3 linked regions of the Diceros bicornis minor genome follow. The protein of the gene in region 2 interacts with the protein of the main gene of each other region in a pairwise test. Links are inferred from orthologs where the notes say so. Each region holds a gene or a part of one and is shown on either strand. Other genes may lie near its edges.

Evidence for each region.
Region 1: the proteins of RUNDC3A (region 2) and RAP2A interact in binary tests that used the Homo sapiens proteins (3 or more experiments, as listed by UniProt). The link is inferred for Diceros bicornis minor from reciprocal best matches to the Homo sapiens genes RUNDC3A and RAP2A.
Region 3: the proteins of RUNDC3A (region 2) and RAP2B interact in binary tests that used the Homo sapiens proteins (3 or more experiments, as listed by UniProt). The two-hybrid records come from large-scale screens. The link is inferred for Diceros bicornis minor from reciprocal best matches to the Homo sapiens genes RUNDC3A and RAP2B.

Annotation. Positions count from the first base shown.
Region 1 is NC_080748.1:73,734,752-73,738,499, reverse strand, and holds the start of RAP2A (ras-related protein Rap-2a), read right to left. Parts: upstream 2,660-3,748; 5' UTR 2,427-2,659; coding exon 2,113-2,426; intron 1-2,112. UniProt on the Homo sapiens protein: Small GTP-binding protein which cycles between a GDP-bound inactive and a GTP-bound active form. In its active form interacts with and regulates several effectors including MAP4K4, MINK1 and TNIK.
Region 2 is NC_080757.1:42,891,961-42,895,708, reverse strand, and holds the start of RUNDC3A (RUN domain-containing protein 3A), read right to left. Parts: upstream 2,576-3,748; 5' UTR 2,525-2,575; coding exon 2,418-2,524; intron 1-2,417. UniProt on the Homo sapiens protein: May act as an effector of RAP2A in neuronal cells.
Region 3 is NC_080741.1:2,231,101-2,233,698, forward strand, and holds RAP2B (ras-related protein Rap-2b), read right to left. Parts: upstream 1,350-2,598; 5' UTR 1,275-1,349; coding exon 723-1,274; 3' UTR 635-722; downstream 1-634. UniProt on the Homo sapiens protein: Small GTP-binding protein which cycles between a GDP-bound inactive and a GTP-bound active form. Involved in EGFR and CHRM3 signaling pathways through stimulation of PLCE1.

The sequences.
Region 1 (3,748 bases), on a different chromosome or scaffold from region 2:
GCTAGGAGGCCAGATGATGAGGTTAGGGTGAGGTATAAAATATCAGGACACACAAGGGCCCCAGTGGGTCTTATGGATACAATGGATGAATCCAGAGAAAAGAGCTTATGGACTCTATTTCAGCTGATCAATGATCTTTTTACATCAAAACTGAGACTGCTAAGTAAAATGACATCTGGGCAAGTAGAGTTTTACTCTTTTTTTCTTCCTGGGTCACAGTGCAAACAAGCAAATTGTTCCAGTTTACAAATAAATTGTACCAAGTTTAGACTAACCCATTATTAGTAATCTGCACTAAATCATAAGAAACGACAAAATCATGTGCACTATACTATCCAATGATATTTTGCCATTCTGTTCCCTAGGCTTGTCTCAAGAAGTTTGCCCTGGGTATGTGACTTTATCAACGTATGTATTATATGTATATATTTAAATGCAAAGGGTGAGGCATTTACTTCAACTATTTGATATATGTATATGGCCTAAGACTGACATGTGAAATATATTAGACTACTCTGTTCTGCAGTTTTGTTTTGGATTTTTCTGAGTAGCTGGGGTGGGAGGAGTAATAAATAAGGATATGAGTCACTAAAATGTAGCCCCAAAATGTCATATACATATTAAGCTTAACACCAAAATCGTTCATTTGTTAACTATAAGCAATTATGAAAACAAGGTTGGAGAAGTAAAAGCTATCAGATTCACAGATCTTAGAGCAGCAGCAGAGGCCAGGAAAAAATTCACTTTATCCTACTTTGAAATTTAATGAAAGAAATAACACACAAAATTTTAGTTTAGCTATTAAAGTGCATATTCAGTGAGTTAAGGGGGGGTCATGGAGAGAGAGCCTCCTCTTTGATCTCATCTGTTGCATTAAAAATCCACCACTGGTAATGAATTTTTGAGCACTCCCTGATTTAGTACACGTGACTTGGCCCTGGCTCTTTCAGAATGAGCAGACTCCAACTGACTTATAATGTGATTGTGTCTACAGTACACTTACAACCATCTTTCAGTAAATGTCTTTCAAGTTAGAGCTATAGGTAGAATTAGGTGGGAAAAAGAAAAACTAAATCAAAATTATTAGCAATTATTAACTAATAATAAGAACCAGACAAAAACATTAATGTGTAATTAAACAGTAATTAGAATAATCTGCTAAAACTTTGAACTAAGATATTACTACATTTTTAATGCTTGAAACTATAGAAAAAATATACTCAATTTAACAGAAAATAAACATTTTAAGCCATTTAAACTACCATCATATTTCCGAAAAGCATACTCTAGAAAAGAGTTTCTATCAGGATAGACCTTATCTGCATTAACTTTAAATTATCTAATACTTGAGTCACACCCTGAAAAAACTTCTCTTTTGTTTCCAGGAATGCTTTTTTCTTTTTTTTTTTTTTTTGAGGGGGGTAAGGCAGCTAGATTAAAACAAAAAGCTGCATTCTTTAATGTGAACGGCATATTTGTACTCTTATATGCTAATACTCTCTCAATCCCACTGAGCTGCTATGGTGTCTTCAAATAATTTGATAATCCGCTTTTAAAGTTTCGTCTTAATTGGAGAGTTCATTTTCGTAAAACGCCTTGGCACCATTCAATCTTTTGAGATGAGAAAGGTCTCTTTCCTCTCGACTTGACATTTTTACGGCATACGTGTGAGCAATTTTTGCTGTCAAATATTGCAAAGGTAGGTTTTTTCGTTGTTCAGTCTGAAAATGTCTCCACTACACTTGCACAGCTCCCTTCCTCCCAACACAAACCTACCCTCCCCACTCCCCCTTGCAAGTTTTAAACTTTGTCTCCTTTGGGGTTCTGCACAAGCGCTACTAATAATATCCAAGAGACAAAGAACTGTGCTGTGGGTTCACGGGATGCCAAATTTGAGTTGTGAAACAAAGCACTCAAATTTGAGATTCAAGATGATGAGGATGGCGATGCTGGCAAAAAATTTATTACAAAGCATAAGACCCCGGAGCCACCTCCCTACACAGCTCCCCCTGCCCACGGCCACGCCGGAGCCCGGGGGAGGGAGTCCCGGCCCCGGGACGGCGGCCGCCGACCGCACCGCGGAGCCCCCTGCCTGCACCCCGGCCCTCTCACCGCTTCACTCGGATGATCTGGTCCCGCATGGGCTTGATGTCCTGGAAGCTCTGCTGGTTGACGAGGCTGTAGACGAGGATGAAGCCCTGGCCGTTCTTGATGTACAGGTCCCGCATGGACGCGAACTGCTCGGTGCCCGCCGTGTCCAGGATCTCCAGCACCGACGGCGACGAGTCCACCTCGATCTCCTTGCGGTAGAAGTCCTCGATGGTGGGGTCATATTTCTCGATGAAGGTGCCGGTCACGAACTGCACGGTCAGGGCGGATTTGCCGACCCCGCCCGAGCCGAGCACCACCACTTTGTACTCGCGCATCGTCCCTCCGCGGCCGCCGCCGCCGCCGCCGCCCGCGACATAGACCTACGCCCGCCGCGCTGCGCCCCCGGACCCTGCGCCGGCGGCCGGCCCCGCCGCCTCCCGCGGCCGCCCCCACCTCACGGCCGCCGCAGCCCCCCGGGCGCCGGCGGAGGGAGCAGCGGCCCTGGGCATGGGCCGAGCCGGGCGGCAATGCGGCCCCGCGGGCGCCGGCAGGCTCTGAGGACGAGCAGGAAGCGGGAGCCGCCGGAGCCGCCCGAGCCGCGGGCCCGCAGTGCCGCCCGCCCGCCCCGCCCCTCGCGCCTCCACGCCCAGCTCCCCGCCCGCCGCTTCCCCCGGCGCCGGAGCGCGCGCCCGAGCCCGAGTCGCGGTGCTGCCGGGGGCGGGGCCCGGCGGCCCGGGGCGGGGCCTGGCGGCGCAGCCCCGCCCCCACCCCCGTCGCCTAGCGACCAGCCGCGCGCGCTCCCGGGAGGCTCAGCGCCGCGCGGAAGCCTCTGCCCGCGCTTAGATAAACAACCGCCTCGGACGCCCAACACCCCACCCCGCACGCCCCGTCGAACCCCAGGCCTGCGTACTGAGCATGCGCAGTTTGTCCGCCTGAGCCGGGAACCGCGTCAACTCGAGAATCCCACGCTCAGAATTTGGCGGAGACAAGGTGTTAGGCGGGCCAGAGCAATCTCCAGGCTTTAACCTGAAGAGGGGAGTGAGAAGAAGACATGGGCAAGGTCGAAAAGGAGGCGTTGGCGTGAGGGCCTTGGCCGACACCACTGTCGGCCAGCATTCCTGTCTGTCAGCATTCCTGAGAAGCTTTGGTTTCATGTTGTGTAAACATAACGAGAGGAAGCTTTGTTTAAGGGGACGCGCATAAACACCACGAGATGAGGCTTTGTTTTAAGCATCAGGTCTGAGGGAGAGGTGACAGGCCCCTCACAGCCCACTGCCCGAGGCGGCGAAGGCCGGGGACCGCGGAAGCCGGGCCCCGCCCACCTCCCCCGGCCCCGCCCTTCAGTGCCCGACTTCTGTCGAGCGCTTCCCACGCCCTGTCAGCTCCGGGCGCTTGGAAAACCGGGAGAGCGGAGCCCCGAGCCGCCGCCAGAAGGCCCAGGGACACCTCATAGCAACAGCCAGCTGGGATACCTAGTAGGACGCTGGGATTCATTCCAGCCAACCAGACCCCGTCTCTGGACCCCATGGTAGTGTTCTCGGCCAATAGGGAGCAGCTTCATACCACGTGACGCCCATCCATCGGCCCACAGGGATAATGTCTAGTCGCTGGATCGTCCAACCCACCTCCCACTGCTTGGCCGGGCTGGGCGTTTGCT
Region 2 (3,748 bases):
CTTGAGCACTGGCCTCTGAGGCTCTCAGGCCAATGCCACAGCTGAGCCCACGGAGCTCCCTCCCTTTCCTTTGGGCTTAGAGTTGGTCTGGCCTGAGATCAGATCTAGATCAGTGTTGGGGTTACCCTAGGGGGAGGCAGCCTGGTGGACTCAAATCCTGTTTCCTTGTGATACCTGTGTGGCCTTGAACAAGTCATTTAATCTCTCTGAGGCCCATTTCCCAGGTGCAAACAGGAATAATAGTATCTGCCTCATTAAATTTTGGTTCAGATCCCAGGAAGGACTGGGAGAAGGTGAGTGTGTACAGGTCATTGGGCAGCGGTGGTGAGGAGCTGGGCATTAATGGGAAGGTCAGCCCTGCCAGAAGGAGCCTGTGTTTAGGGCATTATCTGGGCTTCAGTATGAAGCCTGCCCCCCACCCCCATGATTTCTTCTGGTCATCTGGGTCAGACCTCAGTGGGGGCCTGGGGCTGGTATCAAGATTGCAGCCGTCTGCCATCTGTCCTCAGGGATGCTGCAGAGCTGGTCATCGCCCCTGGGAGCCCCATGGCGTGCTCCCTGTTAGGAGGTACAGTGGCTGCTGCAGGTTACCATGGAGACAGGGAGGCGAGGGCCCCGTGGAGCCCTCAGCCTGCTAAAGGGAACTGTTCTGGGAGCTGGAGGCAAACCACGTGACAGTGACGAGGCGCAGGGGCCTGAGGGGTTTCTGAGCCATTGCCACACCTCCTTCCCCCCGCCAAAGCTCTTATCCTCACACCCCAGTTCTAAGCTCACTTCCAATCCACCAGAACCTCTGCTTCTCCAGCCTAGACCAAGAAGAGATCCCCCTTCCCCACACACTCAAGAGGCCCAGCTGTCCTGGGAGGCAAGAGAAAGAAGCGGAACCTAGGAGGTCAAGAGAGAGGAGAAGGACAGGAAGGGTGTCATCAGGATGGGGCTATTTTCATGTACCAGGCACTGGGCTAGGCTCCTAGGTGGATTATGTCATTACCATTCCTTGGTGTGGCTGTTACATACCCCATCTACAATGGGGATAATAGGGCACCCAAGGCCCAGAGTGGTTAGGAGACTTCCCCAAGGTTGCACAGCTAATAACTAATGAAGTAAGAGTTTGAACCTAGGACCATCTGGCCCCAAAGGCAGAAACCTTTGTTTTATACCACACTGGCAGTGTTTGAGGGGGTGAGGGTGGAGGGAGTGGCCTGCACTTTGGGCTGGGCCATTGCTGTATTCATGTCTTCTATAACATTCCAGGCATTTTACAGAGATCTGATGTGCTCAGCACTGTGCTGGGCAGTAGGGATATAATGGTGTGCGACAGACGCAGTATGGTTGGGTGTGTGCCCAGGAACCTGGGAGGAGCTAGAGGAGCCAGGAGCCAGGGCATCAGGTGGGCACTGATTCCTGGGGGAAGGAGCAGGGCCAGGGCCTGTGTGCAGGCAGGTGGGGCTGGCAAGGGAAGACAGCTGAGCCCTGCACTGGGAACACCCTGCCCTCAGAGGTGGCATGGGGGGTGGGGAGGTTGCAGGTGGAGAAGGCAGCTGGCATGGGGATCCTAGAGGGAGAGATGAGTGCAGGTGGGGGCTGAAGGAGAGTGTCTGAGCCACTGGCCATTCCTGGCTTAGGGCAGGGCAGAGAGGGTGAGTCACTGCAGGGCTAAAGTGGGAAAGTTCACTTCCTGGGCCCCAAGAAAAGTGGGTGAATCTTCCCAACACTGCGACAGCCCCACCCTCAGGGACCAATGGCCCTGCCCTCCCAGTCTCCTCCCCTTGAGCCCAGGAGACCCAGGCTTCTGTGATCAGGCCCTCAGTCCTTCCCACGGCAGGGAAGCGCCCCTCACCCTTCACTGGATGGATTAAAGGGCTTTGTCCACATGCCCCAGTTGACTCTGCCACAGGCTGCATGCCCAGAGATGGAGGAGGACACCATCTCTGCTCCAGTATTTGAGCGTCGGAAAATCTCCCAGGAAAGCCCCACCCCGGAGAGGCCAGGCTGACAGGACTGGGAGTGAGGGTATGCTTGGAGGGCGTTCATCTCCTTACTCCATCAGTTCTCTCCTGCCCACTCTGCCTCTGCCCACCCCGCCCCCAGCAAGGGAGCCAGCCATCGCCGCCCCTTCCCCCTCACGCACAATGTCACTTCCTGGTTCTCACAGGAAGCTGCAGTGCCAATTAAACACCCCTCACCCCCCAGGCCCCAGGCTGGGCATAGGCCTGGCTTGGCCTAGAAGGATAGAGACCAGACCTCCAAACCCCCTCCCTGTCTGGGCCTGAGAGGGACAGTGGACGTGCTCCTCTTAACCCTGTGCTTCCTCCCTTGTCTCCGCGGTTGCTGTGCATCCTCCCTCAGTCCAGGTTTCCGCAGCCCTCCCCGACGCCTCTCCGACCGCCCCACCCCCGCCCGCCAGCGGCGCCCACCTGCACACGGTGATCAGGTTCCGACGCTCCACGGCCACATTGCGGGAAGACGCTTTCTTGGAGGACAGCCCCAGAGCCATGGTGGTCTGGACAAAGCTCGCTTCCATTCAGATGTGCGGCCACTGCTGCCTCCGCCAGCTGCCCCCCACCACGCCCGGCGCCCCGGCCCCCCGCCGGATCACGGCTGAGCCCTCTGACCGCCGGGGTCCCTCGATCCCTCCACGGCCATCCCCCTGCCCCTGCGCCCGATGCCCGGCCCCCTGGCTCCCTCCCCCGGCGGCGGTACCTGAGCAAAACAAGGCCGGGGAGGGAGCTCTCCGAGGTGCTGAGCCGGGGCCCGTCGCCCCCCTCCCCCAGCCGCCCGCCCCCCTCGACCCGTGACGTCGGGGCCCTCGGGCCCCGCCCCCAGGCAGGCCGGGGACCAATCCGCAGAGGGGGCAGGATTTAGGGGGGAGGGGAGCGGACCGGGGCCCCAGGGAGGGCGGAGGGGGTCCCTGGAAGAGGCAGCGATTGGAAGGAGGGAGAGGGCATCTGGTCTGTCCACCCCACACTCAAGGCCCGGACCCCTCGCCTCGCGTCTCTGAGCTCTGACGCCTCTCCTCCCTTGTTTCTGACCTGTGATCGGTGGTGTCTCTCAGATTTCTCCCCCTGCTGCCTGGGGAATGGGGTCCTCACCTCCAATACCCTCATTCCAGCCCCGCCCCCCACCCATTTTATGGCCAGGACGCGAGGCCAAGGCCAGGTGTGCATCCGGAGAGCACAGGTGGCCTTACGCTGCTGACCTAGGAGGCCAAAGAGCAGTCAGAGACACTGCGTATTTGTCTGCACCAGCCGGCGAGTCAACGCCTCCTGGGGTGGGGGATGGGAATCTAGGATAAGCCGGAGGAGCCCAGCCCCTGGAACCACTCAGGACAGTGAGTGGAGAAGAGACTGGCAGCTCAGGGCCTGGGCGCTGTGGTGGTTCCCAGCAGTAGAGCTGGTGCCCACGAAACTGGAAGGGATGGAGCCGAGGCACTGCTTCCCCTCAGTCCTACCTCACTGCCCACGGGCAGCCGCCTAAGGGTTAACCCCTTGGCTGCCAGCATTGCTGCATAGTGCCATCAACCCTCTGCAGGGCCAGGAGGGCCCTGCAAAGTTGGTTACATCTTTTACAGGAAGTTGGGGAAATGGAGGCACAGTCTGGCTTTTCGGCTGCCTTTTGCCTCCCAGTTGCTCTCTCACATTCCAGCTCCCACCTGCTCCGTTCTTCTGTTCAACCTGTTCTCTTTCACCCACTGAAATCCCCAGCTCCTACAGAAAGCCTTTCTGTGTTGATTAAAGGGGCTCCACTT
Region 3 (2,598 bases), on a different chromosome or scaffold from region 2:
CCGTTCTCCCCCAGACTCCCCTTTGATACAGTAGGTAAACAAAATAGATTTTTTTTTTCCCGCAAATATCAGCAGACACTTTCTGGCACCCCACACTGTATTGGCATCAGTGTTAACAGTCCCAGTTCAGATGTGCAATACTTCAGATTGGATACACTGTAACAAGAACCCAACTTTGCATAGACATCCTCGGAATCGCAATCAGTCACGGGGTTGCCCTTCCAAACTGGCAGAAAAGGAACCCGATCTTAATTTCCAGCTACTCCTGGAAAACAATGAAAAAACAAGTTTCCTCCTCTCCTCCTGCTCCTTCATTTGGTTCTCCCGGACTTCTTCCGTGTACTGAAAACTTGGAACTAGAAAACGGTTGTTGACACGCACACGCACACACACACAAGGTCCCCTCCACCTTCTCCCGTCCTCTTCCTTCCCCACCGCATTTTTTCCTGGCTGAAACTTTCGCTTGCCGGTGTCAAGCTGCCAATACAGCGCCCCAACGACTGCTTCAACGGGGAAATATGCGTCAACCAAAATCAATGAGAAACGTACATGCTGCACAGCGCCACGTTCCCACCGGGTCGCGGAGGGTCAGGGCGGGACAGCCCCTCGGACGCGGGGCGGAGGCCACCCCGGCCGCTGCCGAGTCGTCTCCAACCTCCGAGCGAGAAGGGCATCCCGCCGAGCGCGCCGTGCGCTCGGCTTTGTGCGCGGGGCGCGCGGCCTCAGAGGATCACGCAGGCCGAGCAGCAGCCCTCGTCGCCGTTGGGCTGCGCCGCGTAGTTCATCTGCCGCACGATCTCGGCGAACAGCTCATCCACCGAGGCTTTGTTTTTGGCCGACGTCTCCATGAAGGGGCAGCTCCACTCCTCGGCCAGGGCCTTGCCCTCGCCGAACGAGACCTCGCGCTCGCCCTCCAGGTCCACCTTGTTGCCCACCAGGATCATGGGCACGCGCTCGTACCGCTTCACGCGGATGATCTGGTCCCGCATGGGCTTGATGTCCTGGAAGCTCTGCTGGTTGACGAGGCTGTAGACGAGGATGAAGCCCTGGCCGTTCTTGATGTACAGGTCCCGCATGGACGCGAACTGCTCCGTGCCCGCCGTGTCCAGGATCTCCAGCACCGACGGCGACGAGTCCACCTCGATCTCCTTGCGGTAGAAGTCCTCGATGGTGGGGTCGTACTTCTCGATGAAGGAGCCCGTCACGAACTGCACGGTGAGCGCGGACTTGCCCACGCCGCCCGAGCCCAGCACCACCACTTTGTACTCTCTCATGGCTCCGTCGTGCCGCGGCCCCGTCGGGGCTGCGCGCCGGGAAGGGCCGGGCTAGGCGGCCGCACTTCTCCCCTGCCTCCGCTCCGCAGGAAGCAGCTCGGCGAGGGCGGCCGGGGCGCGCGGGGCGCCGAGATCGCCGCGCGGGGGCCGGGCCGGGCACGGCGGCGGCGCGTCCCTGGGGCGCGGGTCCGGGGCCCCGCAGCAGCCCGCGGCTGACCGGGAGGACAATGCCGGCAGCCCGCGCGAGGCGACGGCGGCAGCTCCCGGCCGCGGCAGCCCGGGAGGGCCGGCAGGCGGCGGCGGCTGGCTGCGGAGGCGGCTGCTAGCGGCGCGCCGGGCCGGGACGCGCGTGGCATGAGTCCCCGCGGAGCGTGCGCCCGCCGCCGCGGCCCATCGCGCTCTCTCCCGCAGCCTCCGCGGCCCAGGGCTTCCTGCCCGCCGCGCGCGGCCGGCCCTCCCCGCCCCGCCTCGCCCCGCCCGCCCGGCCCGCGAGCATGCCCAGTGCGCCGCCGCCCGCCGCCCGCCGCCCCTGGCTTTCCGGGGGCGGGACTGGGGGCCGGCCGGGGCGGGGCCGGGGCGGGGCGGCGGAGCGCGCGGGCGGGTGCCGGAGGGCGCGGGTCTAGAACCCGACCAGAGCAGCGCGGGGCTGGGAGGCGGCGGAGCGCTAGGCAGGCTCCGGTGGGAGCACGTGGGCGCCCTCTCCGCGCTCTGCGGGGCGTGCCTGAGGGTCCCGCCCGGGGCCGCGGGCTGTGCCTCCGCCTCCGGTATCAGGAGCCCGAGGACTCCACCCCGGGCCCCCGGCGGGGTGCGTCACGGCCCGGAGAGCCGGCGGGCGTTGGGGGCGCGGAGCGCGGGGGCGGCGAGCATCTCCCGGCGGACGGCGCCGCCCTTCACACCGACCGCCACGGGCACCTACGCGGCCTCGTCACCCCGCACAAAGACCCGAGAGCTGTCCCGACGGGGAAGGGGCCGCCCCTCGGCACTAGGGCCTCTGCGGGCGGCCACCTGGCGGGTCCCACCGCCTCCCCCGGTGGGGCTGCAGCCCGAGCCCGGCCACCCCCCCAACGCCGAGGGGCGGCGGCCAGGGCTGCTCGGGCGCCGGGCCGGGCTGGGGTGGAAGGAGGCGGCGGCGGCCGCGCACGCCCACCCGCGGGCTCGGCCCCCCGGCCCCCCGGTCCCCCGGCCCCCCGGCCCCGCGCACTCCCCGCCCCGGGGCTCGCCCATTGGCCGCCGCCGGCTCTCGTCCGTTTGGGCGGCGGCGCGCCTGAAAAGTCGCCTCCGCTGGGATTGGGTGATGGGCCGAGCGGAGGGCGGTGCAGCTGCT